Linked DNA regions of Canis lupus familiaris. The protein of the gene in region 3 binds, or shares a complex with, the protein of the main gene of each other region. Links are inferred from orthologs where the notes say so. Each region holds a gene or a part of one and is shown on either strand. Other genes may lie near its edges.

Region 1 (4,387 bases), on a different chromosome or scaffold from region 3:
TGCGGCCCTCAGACCCCTGGGCCACGAGCTGCAAACCAAGGCTTTCCGGGTGCTTAACCCTGGATCTCGGGAGACTACCGCACTCGGGCCTCAGATGGAAACTGAGGCCCAGCGAGCACCCTGCGGCCTGGGCACCGGGACACGGGGAACAGAGCTCCACGGGGTCTCCGAGAGGGGCGCTGATGCCCCGGGCTCCAGGGCGCAGGCCACTACTGGCCCTGAGGCAACCCACGGGGTCCCCGGGAGCCCCCAGCCCCGCAGGGCCGAGGCCCGGGGCCGAGTGTGGGAGCCGAGGCTGGGGCCTGGCGTCCTGCCCAGACGGGGGCAGAAGGGCCTTCCTGAGGCTCCGCGACTCCCATCCCGCAGGAGGCGCCTCCGCCAGAAGGCCCTGCTCCCACAGCCCACGCGCCTGTCACAGGAGGGCGTCTAAAGCAGCCACGCGTGAAAAGGAATCAAATCCAGCTCCCCGAGCCCCATCGGCCCCGACTGCCGTGGGCCCTGTGAGGGAAGGCCCGCCCGGGGTTGCTGGGTGCCCACAGCGCCGAGGAGGGTCCTCCACGCACACGAGCCCCCTCGGCTCCCCGCCAGCCAGAGCTCGGGGACTCCAGCGGCCTCGCCCACGGTGCGCAGGCCCACGCGGCACGCACGGCCCCTTCCCCACTGCGGCTGAGCTCCAGGCAGAGGACTGAGGGCCGCCCGCGCCGGGCACCTGCGGGAGCCGGGGGCGGGGACTCCCGGCTGGGACTCCGGGTCACGGGCCGTGGGCTGTGCTGCAGCACAGCCTTCGGGGCAGGGCCGATGGACGTGCGGGCCTCCCGCCGGGCCGGTGAGGCGCTGTCTTCTGTCCTCAGCAGAGCCGAGACCAGCCCGGAGCGGGCGTGGGGACCACCCACCACGCACCTGTTCCTGCTGCACACGCTCTGGAGAAACCCAAGGCCACTTAGGCACGTGGCCGTGAGTCACAGCTGCTTGGCTGTCTGCAGTGTGCGGACGGGGACGTGGATCCCACGATTAGCACCCACCCCGACCTCAGAGGCCTGGCTGGGGTCTGCCAGCAACTCCTGGGCAGCAGGAAAAGGCCGTCTGCCGGGAGAGCGCCCTCCGCCTCTGGGGGGAAGCTCGCGATCCCCTGCTCAGTCCTGGACGTCACAGGGGACCTGGCCACCTGGGCCCATGTGTTCAGCGCCCCAGGCGTGGGCGTGGGGGCTGCCCAGGGATTGTGGTCCAGCTGGTGCCGTGGCGCTGTGTTCTCTGTCCTAAGAAAACCTGGCAGCACCAGTCAGCACCGCTGTGCCTTGGGGTCCCCTCTGCACCCTCAGGCCTCCGTGGGCGACGCGTCCCGTGCCTCTGCTCCCGTCAGCCCTGCTGAGGACACTATGTCACTGTCCAGGAGGGCCCAGAGCTGGGTCGGTTCACCACGACAGCCCAACCAGGGAGACCCCACACGGGGCGCTTGGACCCCCCTGGCCCGGGGGAGCACACGCGGAGCCCTGAGCCGCAGCTCCAGGCCTCGACCCCAACCCTCGCCCCGAGGCCCGATAGCACAAGCACATCACAGGGACCACCCGCTCCAGCCCCCTGGCTGAAGGTGCGTAGCTCCTGCGTCTCGGCTGCTTTTCTAGGCCACGCACAGCACACGGTCTGGACGATCCCTCAAGGCTTGAGTGACCTGAGACTTGAGACCCTTGTCCCCCAGCCCTGCAGCAGGCCAGGTCTGTGGCCCCACAAGATGAAGGGAGCGAGGCCACTCCCACCACCAGGCAGCAGGCAGGGCGGGAACCAGCTGGCGGGGACCCTCGGGCTAGGCAGGGGCGCCCCACGGGGTCACAGCACAAGTGTCTTGAGAAAATCAGGCTTCCCGCCCCGGACAAAGGCCACGTGTGCTGGCCTCTAAAGGACGACGGCTTCCCCCTTGGGGCCCTGCCCCGCGCCCCCAGCCCTGCGCCCCGCAGCAGGGGTGGCCCGGCCGCCCACCGCGGTCAGCCCGGGCACAGAGACCCCTCGCCCCGACGGCTGCTTCTGGGGCCCGGGAGCGCCTCCGCCAGCGGCCCTCTTTCCTCTCGGGCTAGGAGAGCTTGTCCGCTTCGGCAAGACGCGGTGCTTGGTTCCGGGCGGCCCCGGGCTGCGGGCAGGGCCGGCCGCGCTTCTGGTCACGGGGCAGGGCAGCGGGTCGCCGCGGCCCAGGCGGGGAGCGGCCGCCACGGAAGCGAGCTCGTCTCCTTCAACCCGATGATTCTTTTCCAAACGGGCGCGTCTGCTCGGGGCCGGCGGCGCGGGCGGCGGGTGTCCTTCCCGGGGCGTCGCAGCTCGCGGCACCGGCACCGGGAGCAGGTGGAGGCGCGGCTCCAGGCCGGGGGGCGGCTCGGGCACAGGCAGGACCCGCCTCGCCCGGCCCCGCGAGCCGCCGTCCTCCGGGGCGCGCCCGGCCCCGCCCGCCCCGCCCGCCCCGCCCGGCCCGGCCCGGCCTCCTACCTGGTTGGCGAATCCCCGCAGGTGAGCCATGTCCGCGACGCCCTCCGACCGTCCGCGGCCTCCGGCGGCCCGAGACCCCGCCCGCCGCTCCGGAGCCCGGCCGCCCGCCTAGGCCGCTGCAAGGACCGCGCGCTCACGCCCACGCCCACGCCCCGCCCCGACCCGACCCCGGCCCCGACCCCGCCCCGACCCCGCCGCCCCCCGCGAGCCCCCGGCAGGCCCCGCCCCCCGCCCCGACCCCGGCCCCGCCCCCCGCGAGCCCCGCCCCGGCCCCGGCGCCCCCCGCTCGCCCCCGGCCCCCGCCGCCCGCCCCGCCGCCGACCACCGCCCGGCCCCCGCCCAACCGCCCCAGGCGCGGGCCCACCCGGCAGCGCGCCCACCTCCGGGGGGCTCCATCCCGGCCTCCCCCGGCCCGCTCCTCAGCGCCCGCGAAGGCTCCCACCCGCAGCCTCCTCGCGCCCGGGGACGCCCGGGCCCTCCAGCCCCGGAGCAGCGGCAGTGACGGCGGCGGCCGGAGAAAGCCCAGCGGCGGCGACGGCGAGAGGGCGCGCGACGTCGTGGCCCAGCGCGGGGGTCTCTGGGACACCGAGTTCCGCCGCTCGCCGCGCGTCCCGGTGCCCGCGGGCGCTGGACTACAAGTCCCGGTAAGCCTCGCGGCAGGGCGGTGTCGCGGGGCTCGCCGGGACTCGGAGTCGGGCTTCCTGAGCGGCCGCGGACCACGTCTCCCAGCAGGCCGCGGGGCGGGGCGGGGCCGGGGGCGGGCGGGGCCGGGGCGGGGCCGGGGCGGGGCGTGCAGCCCGGGGTTGGGGCGGCCCCCGGCCGAGCGTCCTCCCGCGGCCCCTCCCCTCCCCCCGCCCCGCGACCCCCACCCGACCCCCCTCCTCCCTTCCGTCCCCTCCGCCGCCTTGGGAGGTGCCGCCTGTTCCCAGGCCCTGCCCGGCCGCGCGGCCCGGGCATCTCCGCGGCGGCTGATGGAGGAGCGAGGAGCGAGCGGTGCTGCGCGCAGGCCGGGGAGCACCAGCCTGGGGAAGGAGGGACCCTGTGGCCTGGAGCCGCGGGACGGCCTGGGGACGGGCTGGGGGAGACCAGCGGACAGGGCGGGCGACGCCACGGCGCAGGTGGGGAAGCCCCGCGGGGTCGGCTTTGCAGGGAGCCGGGACCGGGGCGGGGGCGGGCACCGGGCCTGGGGGTCAGCGATCGGCGCCGCGGCTTCTCCGCGAGGCGAGGGCCCTGGACGCCGGGCGCTCAGTCCTCAGAACTGCTGACGCGGGTAATCGTTTGCGTGTTGTAAGTTACGCGAAATGCGATGAAACAGAAAAGGAACTGAGTTCTGACACGCGTTACAACACGAGCCTTCAAAACCATGCAGCCCGGGGGGCCCAGCGTTCAGCGCCGCCTTCAGCCCCGGTGTGACCCGGAGACCGGATCGAGCCCCACGTCGGGCTCCCTGCACGGGGCCTGCCTCTCCCCCTCTCTCTCTCACGAATAAATAAACTCTTTAAAAAATAAGAATAAAAAACAAAAACTCTATGCTGGGGCACCTGGGGCCTCCGTGGGTTGAGCGACCGACTGTTGGCCCCAGCTCAGGCCTTGGTGTCAGCGGGATGGAGCCGCGCTCAGCAGGGAGCCTGCTGGAGACTCTGCCCCTCCCGCAACGCCTGTGCAGAGCTCACGCTCTCCCTCCCTCCCTCTCCCTCAAATAAATACATCTTTTTTTCTCTAAGTTTTAAGTGAATAATTTTTTTTTAATCCCACTATGCCTGGGGCACCTGGGTGGCTCCACCCATTAAGCATCTGACTCTTGGTTTCAGCTCCAGTAATGATCTCATGGTCGGGGATTCTCTCCCTCCTCTCCTACCCCCATTCTCTCTCTCTCTCTCTCTCTCTCTCTCTCTCTCTCTCTCGTAAATGAATA
Region 2 (3,641 bases), on a different chromosome or scaffold from region 3:
ATACTGGCTCAAGAGGCCATTATGTTAAACAAGGTTCTAGATGTACATAAAACTAAGGTTTACACTCCCTTTAGGTTCAGTAAGATGAAGAAACCAGTGAGGCAGGTGCATTCTAGCTTTACCCCAACCTGACCGTCCTTTGAAAAATCAGTGAGTGTACTAAAACAAAATATGATGGGAGCATGGGGTCCTAACAATGCTAACACAATCCTGCCACCCTGGGGCTGTGAGCTCCTTAGTGGAATGCAAAGACCACTGGGGAAAACATCTGGATGGACACCTTAGGAAAAGAGTGGAAGGGGCAATTGGAAAGAAGCCAAATAAGTTTGTATATCCTGAGACCAGAGTAACCAAAATGAGCATCAACTACCCTGTCAGACAAGCCTCTGAGAATGGGGGCAGTCACTAGAAGGCTATCTACAAAGCAAATGCAGAAAAAAGTTCCTTTGTCAGGTACTGATCATGACAAAAGCTACTAGCCCAGAGCCACACCTAATGGGAGAGAAGGAATGTCACATTATCCTCAAGGCCCCAGACTCAAAACACTGACATCAGCCTTATCTGTACTTCCCATGCCTCCTGGGGATCAACAAATCTGGGAAGCAAACTTGACATAAACATGATATTTGCATATGATTTTCAGTGAAGAGGTGTTGGGCATGACCCAAATAAAAGATTTAGCTTCTGACACAGGCCAGAGTAAGAGGTACAAACACTAGTGAAAAGAGTGGCATACCTTTTCAAGCTCCCAACCAAGTGTGTACCCCTCAAGCTGGAGACTCTTTAAATCTACCTAAGAAGAATACTGCAACACCTACAGATAGGGTTTGAGTGTTCTGTTCTTGACAAGAGCTAGGGGCCAAATCTTGAACACACATCCAGAGTGGCCTGAAGGAGAGAGACAGGAAGGGGAAGGTCTGGGCAAGGAGGACACTTCAGAGGAGTCCTTATAACCCATCAAGTGAGCAGTGATGGGTGCTTAATCCTGAAAATAGAAGATCTGAATCCTGATTCACAAGCACTGTGATTGATCAGCTCATGTACCAGGAAGGGAAGAAAGTAATAAGTGTAGGGTAATCAGAGGAGTTGAACAATTTGGATTCTAGTGCCCATCAAAATCCAGTTCTATGAACTTTGATAAATGGGCCTCAGCCTAGAATAAAGAGAAAGAACTGAACACAGATGTTCCTGTCAAGTCCTAAAATGATTATGACCCCAGCAGCAGTAGTGGCTGCAGAGACTACTCTGGAGGTGATCCCTCCCACAGGGCGAAATGCTAACAAGCACTAGGCACAAAGACACCGCTATGTCACCCTGGGGGCTGAAAACTCAACAGTGGCCTTGGCTACCAAGGCCACCGGGATGTCTATGGCAGTGACGGCCACGACTACAACCCAAAAGTAAGAGAGCCAAGCCCGTCTCTACCATACTAACACCAGGTCCACCTGCAACTCTGGTACTACATAGGCCCTTCAAACAGCTGGCTCATGATGGTGCCCTGAAGGCTGGAGGAAAGGTTACTGTGTGTTCTGTGGGCTGTGCTGAACAAGGTGGGAAGTCTACTGTATATTGAGAAGATCCTCATTTAAAAAGAGGAAACAATGACCAGCCCACAAATGTATGTGAGTTAAATATTTGTTCACCTAGAAACTGTTGGGTCAGAAGAGACAATTCTCTGTGAACCATGTGAAAATTACTTTGTGTACAATCTGAGAATGAGCAGCTGGGAGGAGAGGGGGGTTAAATCAGAGATTCTCAAGGCAAGATCCCTAAGTTTTTTAGTCTATAAGAAGTTTAAGAAAGTTGAAGAGGACGCCTGGGTGGTTCACTCAGTTAAGTGTCTGACACTTGGTTTTAGCTCAGGTCAGGATCTCAGGGTCGTGAGATGGAGCCCTACATCAGGCTCTGTGCTCAGCTGGAAGTCAGCTTGAGGATTCTCTCTCCCTTTCCTCACCCCACTCCCCTCTCACATTCTCTTTAAATCAATCAATCAATCAGGAAAGATGGAAAAAAGAAAAGGAAAGAAGAAAAAAGGAAAAAAGAAGAAAAGGAAAAAAAGAAAAAAGAAAAAAAAGAAGAAGAAAAGGAAAGAAGAAAAGAGAAAAGAAAGTTAGTTGAAGGCACCAGGGAAAATAGAACCCAGGAAAAACTGAGGGGTTACAACTGATAACAGATAAAAAGGTAGATAAAAGGAATTATGGTTTGCCTTACATTAGGAATAACAATCCTAACTGAGAGTTAAAAATAACAAGAAAGAATATGTAGCAATGCAGTTTCTGGTCTTATATTTTTGTGAGGTCTCCATTTCTTTTGTAGGACCTCTTTCTCTGCCTGTGCCTTAAATATGGCTCAGAGTTCCTCCACACCCCACCTTCCAACGTGCTCCTTCTCAAGTGTTCCCCACCACCATTAAGCCACAGTGTTTAACCGAAAAACTTTGTAACTGTGGGCTGAATAAATAAAGGACATGAGGGGTGTGGGGTGGCTCAGTCGGTTAAGGGTCTGCCTTTGGTTCAGGTCATGATCCCGGGGTCCTGGGATGGAGCCCCACACGGATTCCATGCTCAGTGGGGAGTCTGCTTCTCAGCTCATGCTCTCGATCTCAAATGAATAAATAAAATCTTTTAAAAATAAAAATAAAAGGGATCCCTGGGTGGCGCAGCGGTTTAGCGCCTGCCTTTGGCCCAGGGCGCGATCCTGGAGACCCGGGATCGAGTCCCACGTCGGGCTCCCGGTGCATGGAGCCTGCTTCTCCCTCTGCCTGTGTCTCTGCCTCTCTCTCTCTCTCTCTATCATAAATAAATAAAAATTTAAAAAAAATAAAAATAAAAATAAAGGACATGAAATGTAGGAGAGAGAGAGAGATAAAACCTGTTTTTAATCAAGGTCTGAGGGAACTACCTTTATGTCCTACTTCAAGGAACTTGCTTCACTCCACCTGGAAAAGCTGCGAGGCTAAAGCACAGACGAGGATGACTCTCTAGAGCCAGCGAATGTGAAGAGGCGGCCCTTACCTTTGAGTCATAGGCAGACTGTTTAATGACTTCGGGTGCCATCCAGAAGGGGGTGCCCACGAAGGTATTCCTTTTTATCTGGGTATCTGTCAGTTGGCCCGCCACCCCAAAATCAGCCAGCTTCACCTCTCCGTGTTCAGAGAGCAGAACATTGGCAGCTGCAAAATAAAACCCAAGATGCCTCCTGATATTATGTGCTGTGCTGCTCTGTCCGTTACCACGTCAGGAATGCACACGTTCTCTCGCCAAGGACATCCTGTGCTCAACAAGAGCAGGCACTAAAGGTACGGTTTTGGGGAGATCCTCCTCAAAGCCACCCCTGCCCCAGGCATGTCAAAGGCACCCCTCAAATACACACAGAACAACCTCCAACGAGGAGACCGGTACATATTTAACTCTACAACATAATCCCACCCGCCTTAGGATTTCAAAGGAATAAAAGATCTTTTCTTACCTTTGATATCTCTGTGAATTTTCTTCTCTGAATGCAAATAATCAAGTCCTTTCAGTATTTCTCTTAATATAGTAGCAATCTGAGTTTCATCTAAAGGGCCAGGTTCTAACTAATAAGAAAAGAATGATTAAAGTTAAATGATCATCTTAGAAGTAGTTTCAGATGACAGAACA
Region 3 (3,641 bases):
AAAAAAAAAAAAAAAAAAATCCCTGCTACCAGAGAACTTATAGGGTCTCTCATGGCCAAAGACCAGGTAGCCATCTTGTAAGGTCCAGAGGCCCTCCTCTCCTACAGCAGCAAATCTGCAGAAATGGGGAAGATTTCTCAAGGCAGTTAATGCATGCCAAGCCCCTACTGGAGACAGCACCTGGCCAACCGCCCTCACCCTGTGCTGCGCCATCAGCTACAGCCGGCAGCAGGTGGGGGAGGGGGCAGACAAGGGCTCACGGTGCACGTGGCAGAGCTCCTCAGAGAGCAGGAGGCCCAGCCAGTCTCCTCAAAGAAACACCAAACAGTTGAGGACAGTACTGGAACCCAGGTTGAGAACCCTCCCACCCAGGCGGACTGTGCCACCTGTCACTGGAGTGGCTAGACTCAGACTTGACACAGTGGCACTCTCCACAGCAGGGGTCGGTCCCTGCGGTCCCTGTGCTGAGGCCCGGGAGAGTGCTGGCTTGCAGGGGCTGAGTGGGCTCAGCAGAGGAGGCCGGCCAGGAGCCCTGCCACCTGGCCACACCCACCCCTCCCTGCTCCCTCTCCCGTATCACCTGTTCTTGGCGGTGATGTAGGACATGATGTTTTGATTGAAGAACTTTAGGATCAGAGGGATGCAGTTGGCAAACACCAGGTGCTGGGCCATGTATTCAAACTGAAACCAACAGAAAAAAGTAAGTATGCCCTTTAGGACCTCGCCCTCTTTCCTCCAATGATAAAAGGCCTTGGTTGGAAGACTGTGTCTTAAAACATTCATGCAGAGTTCAAAGAGGTTTGAAGGTCAAGGCCTGAATTTTTCAGGATTGGAGGAGTAGTGCTGCCTGAGGCCCTGGCCCAGGGAACAGGAAGGAAGGCCCTGCAGGTACCTGGTAGACGTGGTTCAACTTAAAATGCTTGAGTAGCAACAGCAGGACAGCAGAAATGGCCTTAACAATGACCTCTTTGTGGCGGTTCACGTCCACCCCCAGCTTCATGCTCTGCAACACTGTGGTGCTGGAAACACAATTCCCAGGGTGAGCCACCAGCAGGTACAGCACAGCCCTTCTAGATGCTCGTGGGAGAGATGGCATTCTTGAGCCTTCCCTGGGCAAAGGCCCCCACCTCACCACCCACCCCTCGTGGGCATCTCAGATATCAGGCCCTGGGCTCCTCCTACCTGCCTCACAAGCAATCCAGCTCAGCACAATTCTTGTGAGGCCCCAAACACATTCTTAGCCTATTTCTCTGATTTCCTCGCAAAATGAACTCCTTTCCAAGTTCTTCCTAAGCTTTTGCTACTGTATGAACTTGGGTCCCTCCCAGTGTATCCTGTGGAATACTAGTACATTGAGGCTTTTCATACTGGGGAGAAAAAAGGGCTTTGGAGTCAGATATACTGAAGAAGCACTAAGTTAAACTGTTTCTTAATTCAGGGCCTTGCACTGTAAATCTCTGTGAAATTTAGTATTTGACTCTGGAACCCTTCTTCCAAGGACCATCATGATGGCCTGGTGTTCTAGGACGCTCCCTTTGGTATTAACCAATCCCTGCCTCCTCCCTCACCTGGCTATCATGGCCAGACTCAAGGGGCTCCAGCCCCCGGGGAGCTGGGTTCAGAGCTGGGTGGTACTGGCAGGCAGGCAAGCAGAAAGTCAGATCAAGGCCCAGGTCCTTCTCAAAGCAGAAAATGATCTCGGTTTGAACTCTCACATCAAAGCGATGAGGTCAGTGCCCCAGGGAAAAAGAACCCCTAAGGATTTCACTATCACCCTGAGATATCCACAAATATCCTGCATGCCAAATCAACAGCAAATAGAAAAGAATCCACACCCAGCTCAAGTTCAGCTGTTGGCCGGTAAAATGTACAGTAGTCCTGGATGATCACACAGCTTTCGAGGGAGGGTTTGGGAAATGTCAAACACAGCCTGATTCATTTTACAGAGGAGGAAATGACTTTTCCCCAGTTCACTCAATGGCAGAGTCTACACCAGAATCCGGGCCTACCACACAAAGCCACTTCCCCAACCAGTAAAATTAAGTATTTAATCCAATACAGTTTCTTTCTTCTGAGCCAGGAATACCCTAAACTTAACCCACAGAGAAAGTGAGTCAAAGAGAGAAATCAACCTAACAAAGAGTGGGACCTGAGAGGAAAACCTTGCCTTTCCCCTCTACCCTGCAGCCTCTGCCCTGCTCCATTCACCGGTATGCTACCCAGCTACTCACGGCATTTCCTCAGGCAGGACATCGGCTAAGATGTTGATTGAGTCTGTTTTGGCCTTTGAGGTGGGGGCTGCAGCCAGCAAGATCTTCAGCAGTGCGATCTGCCAGAGAAGCAGAAGCAGCCCTAAGCCCTTAGAGGTGGTCCTTCCAGAGGAGCTCAAATGGGCGGTGGGAGGGGCTAAAGGACACTGGCAGAGCGTGCTCTCAAGGCCAGTGTAGTGGGGAGGGCGATCCCGCGGCAGTACCTACGCATGGCCACTAAAGGGGTCCCAGACCCAGAGGACTCCTGAAGAGGTGGCAAGGCCCCAGGAGCAGGGGCACTCACCATGTACTGAGGCAGGCTGGGAAGCAAGCCTTGGTAGAGGGTTTCTGCAGGTACTTGCTCAACTTCCTCTTCTCCCTTTTAACACAATTAGGCACAAATACAAAACCCCAGTCCTGATGGGTCTCCTGAGCCAGCCTGCTAGGCGGCTAGAGGAGAATCTGTAAGTAGTGATATAAATAAAGATGTTGATAACGACAGCAAACATTGAATAATACGACCTGTGAGGCACTTTACCTGTAATAACTCAGTTAATCCTTACTACAACTCTGTGAAGAAGGCTATTATTATTCCCATTCCACAGGTGAGGAAACTAAAGCACGGCGAGATCCAGTAACTTGCCTAAGTGACCACCTACCAAGTCAGGGAGCTGGGAGTCAGAGGCAGGTGATGGGCTCAGAGTCTGTGCTCTTGACCCTCATACTAATAACCCGCCACCCCTGCAATGGGAGAGAGACTGGGAGCTTCGAGGGCAGGGCCTGGGGCAGCTCTGTGGTCTGGGCCCAGCCCAGTGCCTGGGAACAGCAGGGGAGTGGGTGGCGACTGGAGAAGGCCTCAGACTCACCCCTGAGAGAGGAGAGCGAAGGTACTCCTCCTCCATCTGCGCCTGGACCTCTGCAATCGATGTGTACTTGTGCTGGAGAGAGAGCGGGGGAAACACCCCTCATTCGCTGGCCAAAGCCGCACACCCTGGCAAAGACCCCATGCGGTTTTCTTCAAACACAATCTTCTCAAAGAGAGCTAACATCACCACAAAAATCCCTAACTCAAATCCTGAAATATTTTTCTAAGTGGACACATATTTCTTAAACCCAGTCTAAAAAGCACACAATAGATTAGGAAAAAACAAAGGAAAGAAGGGACTTCCAGATAACTAAAGAGATACGAGAAAACCACTAAAGGGAGAGTCAATGACTCAGAACCAAGTCCTCAAATAGCCTAATGGCACAGGGCCTGCTTAGCCCATTTGTACAAATCTCAAAAACGTATTTCAAAAACATATCATCAACATTTACACTCTTGACATGTTGTTAGGGGAGATACCTCTTCCCCACTTGATGTTTCCTCCCATGTGGAGGGATACGTGTGTG

The links.
Region 1: STRIP1 (region 3) and STK25 share a complex: the UniProt entries of both Homo sapiens proteins name them as parts of the core of STRIPAK complex. The link is inferred for Canis lupus familiaris from reciprocal best matches to the Homo sapiens genes STRIP1 and STK25.
Region 2: STRIP1 (region 3) and STK24 share a complex: the UniProt entries of both Homo sapiens proteins name them as parts of the core of STRIPAK complex. The link is inferred for Canis lupus familiaris from reciprocal best matches to the Homo sapiens genes STRIP1 and STK24.

Annotation. Positions count from the first base shown.
Region 1 is NC_049246.1:51,489,531-51,493,917, forward strand, and holds the start of STK25 (serine/threonine-protein kinase 25), read right to left. Parts: upstream 2,825-4,387; intron 2,589-2,824; 5' UTR 2,575-2,588; coding exon of another isoform or gene 2,503-2,574; coding exon 2,473-2,502; intron 1-2,472. Other genes in the region: EZH inhibitory protein-like, read left to right, coding at 2,501-2,574, 2,825-3,116. UniProt on the Homo sapiens protein: Oxidant stress-activated serine/threonine kinase that may play a role in the response to environmental stress.
Region 2 is NC_049243.1:48,761,873-48,765,513, forward strand, and holds part of STK24 (serine/threonine-protein kinase 24), read right to left. Parts: intron 3,578-3,641; coding exon 3,469-3,577; intron 3,173-3,468; coding exon 3,015-3,172; intron 1-3,014. UniProt on the Homo sapiens protein: Serine/threonine-protein kinase that acts on both serine and threonine residues and promotes apoptosis in response to stress stimuli and caspase activation.
Region 3 is NC_049227.1:42,374,578-42,378,218, forward strand, and holds part of STRIP1 (striatin-interacting protein 1), read right to left. Parts: intron 3,188-3,641; coding exon 3,116-3,187; intron 2,629-3,115; coding exon 2,554-2,628; intron 2,330-2,553; coding exon 2,232-2,329; intron 1,020-2,231; coding exon 893-1,019; intron 682-892; coding exon 581-681; intron 1-580. UniProt on the Homo sapiens protein: Plays a role in the regulation of cell morphology and cytoskeletal organization. Required in the cortical actin filament dynamics and cell shape. Part of the striatin-interacting phosphatase and kinase (STRIPAK) complexes.